2 linked regions of the Schizosaccharomyces pombe genome follow. The protein of the gene in region 1 interacts with the protein of each later gene in a pairwise test. Each region holds a gene or a part of one and is shown in the gene's direction. Other genes may lie near its edges. The genes, in order: hem13 and SPOM_SPAC26H5.09C.

Region 1 (3,831 bases):
CAGGATCATCGTCCCAGCATTCAACTTCAGTCATTCAATCAAAATAAACGTATACTAAAACGGCTTTGCTAAGAAAAGAAATTGGATGCAAAACGCATAGAATGATTACTAACCGTATTCACCCAAAACTGAAAACCCTAAATTTGATTTTCAAAGAAAAAGAAAGTGAGAGAGAAAAAGGATGGTCACTAATTTTGCAAAGAAGTAACCACTGTAAATATTTACGCTTTCAAACCCAGCTTCGAGAAGTAATAAGTTATGAACAGCAATTCAAAAGGACTTCAGGAATATGATTATGATGATGCTTTCAGAGATACAATGAAATTTTGTTTTGTATAGAAAGCAAAAAAAAGAATTTAACTTATTTCAATGACAAAATCAAGGAATCTGGGTTAGCGGTATATTGTTGAAAGAGACGGAGGTTGAGCTAGAGGTATAAGTGTAAACACCAACTTGATCAATTTACGTACTTTGGTTTCAGTACTTTACGAGAAATCAATTTTTAATAAGGTGAAAAATAAAGCATCTACTATTTGCTTGTGTAAACCTAAAAAAAAAATAGTTTTTTTTGGTATCTTTCAGTCATATTTATTTTTGCTAGATTAATCATAGTAAAATACTTAACCATATGTGATTGCCAAAATGCATAGCTGCACCTCACCTTAAAAAAATCTAGGTAATCTAATTAGCATGCAACTACGAGTTAATGTTTTTTAAAAAGTAGATAAATTACAACGAAGGTTAGTAGGTGAAGCAATAAATAGTATGTTTAATCGTCACTCGTATTAGCAAATTCATTCGTCTTAGAATTTTATTTTCCTCCACGAAAATATATATATTTTTCTTTGAACGTTTAAATTATTATAAACAATTGCTTTCTCTGAAATTTATGCCCATTTACAATTTAATTCTGTTTATGGAATCTACATATTCGTTCAAGTATATATGAAATACATTTTAAGGAATCTTTTTTTATTAGATTCTTCGTATAATTTCTAAAATACATACTATTTTCATATACGAGTTTAGATAAATTACAAAAAAAAAAAAAAAAAAAAACGATTAAACTATAGGTTAAAAAGTAAATCTATTAGTTTATAACAAAAGAAACGTCTTTGTTTTATTTTAGTTTATTTTTTTACATCTAAAAAGTTATTGAAATCAACAATGGTAAAGTTGAACAAATTAACTCTTCAATTCATAGGTATGAGAAACCGTTCTTCATTAGTAAATCCAAGTATGAAACATAATCATGTTTTTACCCCTATGCGATCGCGCTATTCATATTTTTCCTAAATTATTTTTAGCATCAATTCTGTCTATAGTTTCATATAATTTCAGTGATTTAATCATGTAATTATTCATGTAAAGTTCATAAAAAATATAGGTTGATGATCTTATTAATGTTTGTACTTAAGAAATGGTAAATCGAACAAGTTGAAAAAGTAAGCATGGCATCTGTCTTATACTCTTGTGCTTTTCTGTAAACCAAGCAGTTAAAAACATTATTGCTTGCTAGTAGCGAAGCAACTTACAAACATTTCTCATAGACGAGAAGTAACTCCATTTTTCAGATAGTCTAATAATAAGTCAAAGAAAAGGATGTTTAACATCATCCTAATCAAATTCATATAAAACTAATAATTGTTTTCCATCGAAGGAATCTATATATCGCACTACAAGGTGCAGTAACGAAACACTCAGATCGTGGAATCCGGATTGTGTTCTTAACCTTACGAGAAAAACGAGCCATTACGGTCGTGACTGTCCAGAAATCGTTCGATTTTTAAATATCTGAATTTAGTCTATTTTTTGATATAAATCCCCCTAATCCCATTCGCTGCTGGCACAGTGTTTTTGTGAAAACAAAACAACCAAGTTGTAAATTTAATTCGCAAGTTGAACAGTGTTTTGATTCTTCACTTGTGTTAATACCAATTCATCCAATCGGTTGTATCATATCTTAAATACCATTTTGGTTACTTTTTTTTTTGGACATTTTGAGCAAATCCGTAAAGTAAATAAAAAGATGTCTGACATTACCGTTGAGCCTATTGGCAAGCAGATGGAGAAGCTTATTCTCGATGTTCAGCAAGAAATTGTTGCTGGTCTCGAAGCTGTCGATGGACAAAAATTCTTCCAAGACAAGTGGACCAAGGGAGAAGGTGGTTATGGTATCAGTTGTGTTATTCAAGATGGCAACGTTTTTGAAAAGGGTGGTGTCAACACAAGTATTGTTCAAGGAAAATTGAATCAAGACGCTGTCCAAAGAATGCGTGCTAATCATGAAGGTATTGATCGTACTGCCAAAGAGCTTCCATTCTTTGCTGCTGGTATCAGTATGGTTATTCACCCTCGCAACCCCATGGCCCCTACTACTCACTTGAACTATCGTTACTTTGAACTTGTAAACAGTGATGGTAAGAAGATTTGGTGGTTTGGTGGTGGAGCCGATTTGACTCCTAGCATTCTCTTTGAAGAAGATGGCAAGCATTTCCACAAATTGCATAAAGAAGCTTGCGATCGCCATGACCCCACTTTCTATCCTCGCTTCAAGAAATGGGCTGATGAATACTTCCTCATCAAGCACAGAAAGGAGACTCGTGGCATTGGCGGTATTTTCTTTGATGATCTTTCTGAGAAAGATCCTCAAGAGTTATTTGCTTTCGTCAAGGATTGTGCCCATACCTTCCTTCCTGCCTATGTCCCTATTATGGAAAAGAGAAAGAACATGGAATTCACTGAAGATGATAAGGAATTCCAACTCATTCGTCGTGGATACTATGCCGAGTTTAACGTTATGTATGACAGAGGTACTTGGTTTGGTCTTCAAGCTCCTGAACCCCGTGTTGAATCTATTCTTATGACCCTTCCATTACATGCTTCCTGGCGTTACAAGTATGAGCCTAAACAAGAGCGTCACAAGGCTCTCCTTAAAGTAACGCATACCCCTATTGAATGGTGCTAGAAAGATTCACAAAAATGACTTTTACTTCAGCATTTAATGAACATCACAATTTTTGGTAATAGCTTTATTCTTTCGTTTGTTTTTAAACTATGCCATGTTACACTAACTCATGTTAAATTTTCTATCATGCCTTTTTTGCTCTTCATTATTTGGAATTCTTAACTGTTTGAATTTGCGATTTTGAATCCCTTTTCTAAGCTAATGAAACAATATTTTACCCTTTAAAAATCCGTATCTTTTATTGAGTAGTGTTTTATAAAGAGTTTTAAAGTAAAGTACAGTACCTATTTGGCTTGAGATCTAATTTCACAATATAAATTTCAACTGATCTGCACTTTCATTAACTTAATTTCAATGTATTTTTCTTTAAAATAATACGAATAAAAAAAAAGAAGATGAAGGTAAAATGTGTGTGTCTTGTCTTTATGATAAAACGACGTCGATCCCCAACGGATTGAGATAGACAAGTCATAAAACGTTAGCATCGGTACAAATTTTACAGTCGCTCTTTTCTTTCATTTGTATCTAATTCCCTTTTACACTCAAATACAGTGGGCCGATTGGGATCTGCTGATAAAGTGCAAATGAACCTGTTGGTTAATATCAAACTCACAGTAAGTGTATATAGGATAATAATCTAACAATCTCCCATCTTACGTACCCTAAAGATTGCATAGTAGCAAACAATTTTGTCTCCGCTGCAGCCAATTCAATGCAGGAGATATCCCCTGACTCCGTTTGTTGGCAAACTCGTTCAGTTTGATTGTTTAGACTTTCAAAGAAGACCTTCTGTTCTTTGGTTGAATCCTTCAAAAATTCTTGTACTTTTTCTTCCATTATGCTCTTTCAGAGGAAGATTCAGT
Region 2 (3,931 bases), 3.2 Mb from region 1:
GAGAGTGACTCTTTCTTTGAATGTATGTCGAACAGTGAAGTATGATTGAAGAGAGTGATATTTCGTCAATGTACTTTTGCGCCGCGTAACACTAAGAAAAGTATAGATTGTGTGTAATGTTCTTAAGAAAGTCTATTCCGTCATGGAAAAGGAAATAGCGTTGTACGCAATAAACTTATTTGGTTCGCTTACGTAAATGAGCGTGGGACAAACAGCAAATTTGGTGGGGAAAATCATTGCAACGTAGGGAATTAAATTGAAATAACTGTCAGCAATATTACACTACGCTATGATACACTACGCTGCGTATCACTATATGCCATATGTTGGAATACTAGCTAAGATCCGTTTATTGATAATCACGGGTAACTATCCGTCTATATACATAGATACCCGTTGATAACAACTATTTAGAAATATTATAAATAGCGTTACAACTGAATCTCGTTCCTCAGTTCAGTTATGAGCTATATTAGTGATAGGTAACATTATAACCCAGTTAATACAATACCTATACTCAGTTGCTACTTATACAACCTGTGTATTGTAATATAATAGATCACAAGGAAAACTCACCGCAGTTCTACGTATCCTTAAATCAGATACCAAACTGCGTAGCTTACAATAACCAATTTTTCAAAACAGTGCTTAATAAAAGAAATACCGGAATACGCAAGGGATCGTACATTGAATCCGTTAGAAACACTAAGAGAGAAGAAGTAGAATAAAAAAGGTCAAGTCAACAGGAGAGTATAATGGATTGCATGGATGGATCGTAAGAAGGAAGATGGTGCGAAAAAAGTGTAAGAATCATAATAATCATAAGAATAATAACAATAATGAAAGGCAATAGAACTTGATAACAATGATCATTACTTAAAAAATTTGAAAGAGAAGACAAAATAAAATAAATAAAAAATGCGACAAGCTCTAGTCCTTCTTACCAATCTAAACCGATGGAAATGACGGTGTGAGACATGGAACCATACTAAAAATACGAGATAACCTTATCAACATATCTTAGGCCGAAATGGGAACAAAGAATGTAATCAAAAGGTAAAAAAAAAAAAAATTGGGATGGCGGTGGAAAGGCGAGGAAAAAAAGAAACAATAAGAGTGTGCAGAGTAAGAGAGGAAAATATTTAAAAAAAAAAAAAAAAACTTAAGTAGGTAGGAAATCAAATGAAAAAATGAATTGATTATAAATAAAAATAAAGAAAAGCTTGAAGAAAGAAAAATAATAAAAATAAATAAAAATAAAGCGATGCGCTTTCTCCCTATCCCCACAAAGTTCTTCTTAATTAATGTGCAAGGGATTTTAGTGCATCTAGTCTGACAGCGATCGCGCGGAAATGGAAGCCAGACCAAACCAAACAAACCCATAGTATTTTCTTATAGAGGCAAAAGCAATAAGAACGGCAGGCACATAATGGAAGTGGCCGGTTCTAGAAACAAGTGATTGGGAAGCAGACAAAAGCGAGCAAAAGTCAAGCCGGAGAGAGATGAGGGAAAGAGATGGCATGGATTCAAACGCTAGAAAACTTTTTAATTTAAAACATTCATCCAAACGTGGTTCAACAAATTTATCCAAGCGTAATGAGATTGAAGAAGGATTTCCAAGTAATATCAACATTCATATTATCATTTAGTCCCAGCAAGTTAAATTTGTTTACAATTTCCCTTGACATACAAGCACATACTCTCTCTCTCTCTCCATCGGCTACTAGCATAGCACAGTATAGCATACACAACCTAATATCACATAGTAGTACATAGCACAACACAACATACTAAAGCATAGTGTCCTTTAGTTCCCTTTTACGTGCTGAAACGTTCCCCCTATCTGCATGGTAAACTCATCCTGCTTATACTAATAAACGTCATTCATTACATAGCTGCATCTTAGCTCAAGTTGCACCTTTCTTCGTGGTACCCGATGGGCCCCGCTTTAACACACGTTGTACGAGGTTGAAACAACGAGATGGAAAAAGGTTGTGTGTTGATTGCTTACGTGGGCGAATGGCGGTGTAGACTATTTAATCGATAACGGGCGCGGGTCGCATCGAATTTGCAAAGAACCAACTAGCTAGGTTGACATTAGAATCCATTGTGGTCCATAGGAAACAAGCTTAACAAGCGGGCCGACTGTATTTACATTATATTTTATTCATTTTTCAAGCAAGGTATGTAGTAAGCTGGCGAGTACAAGTGCAAGTGCAAGCGCGGGTGCGATTGCGATTGCGGAATAGAGATGGTTCAGGAAATACACATCATGATTGAGTTGAGTTGCAATGCGTTACTTGACATCGCATGGAGCGCTTGTGATGCCTTAATATTGTGCGCGCGCTCTTTCTATCCACCTTTGGTTCCTCTTCTACCTTGCCCTTGCCCTTGCCCTTCCCTGTGGCTGTCTTGTCGCATCTTTACTAACATTCCTCTTGTAGAAACATTACTTTTGATTCCCCTCCCTACTACTCTCAATGGCGCCTATTAAAACTGCCGTTCTCGGTACTGGCATGTCTGCCTTTATCTTCCACTATCCCTTCTTAAAGGCGCTACCCAACCATTTCGAGGTTTATGCTGCTTGGGAGCGCCGTGCTACCAGCACCGAATCGAAAGCCCGCGCTGCCTTTCCAAACGTAAAGGTGTACACCAAACTCGACGAGCTCTTGGCTGACTCCAACATCGAATTAGTCGTCATTTCACTCCCTCCCAACGTCCACTACGAGGTCGTTTCTCAAGCGCTCAATGCCGGTAAGCATGTGTTGTGTGAAAAACCTTTCACTCCCACCTACGGCGAGGCCAAGGAGCTGTTCGATCTCGCCAAGTCCAAAAACCTCATGTTGACCGTGTATCAAAATCGTCGTTTCGATGGTGATTTCTTGACGGCAAAGGAATGCATCGAAAATGGTCGTTTGGGCGAAGTTGTGCAATTCGAGTCGCATATCGATCGCTTTCGCCTTTTCCGTAAAGGTAATTGGAAGGATGTTCCTAATCCCGGCTGTGGTTTGGTGTATGACTTGGGCTCTCATTTGATCGATCAGGCCATCACCTTGTTTGGCACTCCCCATTCCGTAACGGCAAAGCTCGAATCACAACGTCAGATCCCACCTTTGGAGGTGGAGGATTGCTTCCGCATCGTTCTCCACTATCTGCCCCAAGAAGGAAGACTTCCTCTTGACGTTATTGTGTGCTCCTCCAGCATTTCTTGTGGTTTGGACATGCGTTATATTATCAAGGGTACGCGCGGTAGCTTTTTGAAGTTTGGCATTGATCCCCAAGAGTCCCAATTGAACGAAGGAATGTCTCCCATGGATCCAGGTTATGGTGTCGATTCCTCCCATCATTATGCAACCCTTTGGACCCTACCTCCCGACATCGATGTCAGACACCCCCCAAAACCTACGAAGAGCACTTTAATGACCATTGCCGGTGATTATCGTCGATTCTATTTGGAGGTGCATGAAGCCTTGGTCACGAAGACCTTTGAAACTTCGGTGAAGCCTCATCAAGTTTTGTTGGTAGAGAAGATCATTGAGGCTGCTTACAAGAGTTCCCAATCCTCTACTTCCATCCCATTGTCCGAGTAGGTCTCATGGTTTTGAACCTGCGCGTCTTTCCAAATTCTTCTTTTTTTCTTCCTTCCAGACAGTTTATGTTTTTACGTTTTCTATGACTTTTCAGTAAGCATTGTTTTTGTTGTTTTATGTTTGGTACTGTAACCTTCGACATACTATATCTGATGACGAACCGATGCAAACAGATAGAACTGGTAATTAACCACACAAGTAAGTATATAATTTCTATCTGCGCATGTAAATATGCAAGCTATATACATACGTCTATCTATATCTTAGTATACCTATAAATATAAATATATATTATGTTTTCATCAGCAACAGATTTGGGATGGTATGTATATATGCGCGTA

Evidence for each region.
Region 2: the proteins of hem13 (region 1) and SPOM_SPAC26H5.09C interact in a two-hybrid assay, tested with the Schizosaccharomyces pombe proteins (2 studies listed by BioGRID).

What each region holds. Positions count from the first base shown.
Region 1 is NC_003424.3:964,401-968,231, forward strand, and holds hem13 (coproporphyrinogen III oxidase), read left to right. Parts: upstream 1-1,735; 5' UTR 1,736-2,029; coding exon 2,030-2,968; 3' UTR 2,969-3,191; downstream 3,192-3,831. Other genes in the region: two-component GAP Byr4, read right to left, coding at 1-34; SPOM_SPAC222.17 (uncharacterized protein), read right to left, coding at 3,465-3,558, 3,630-3,805.
Region 2 is NC_003424.3:4,137,232-4,141,162, reverse strand, and holds SPOM_SPAC26H5.09C (gfo/idh/mocA family oxidoreductase), read left to right. Parts: upstream 1-2,071; 5' UTR 2,072-2,183; exon of another isoform or gene 2,184-2,444; 5' UTR 2,445-2,480; coding exon 2,481-3,590; 3' UTR 3,591-3,897; downstream 3,898-3,931.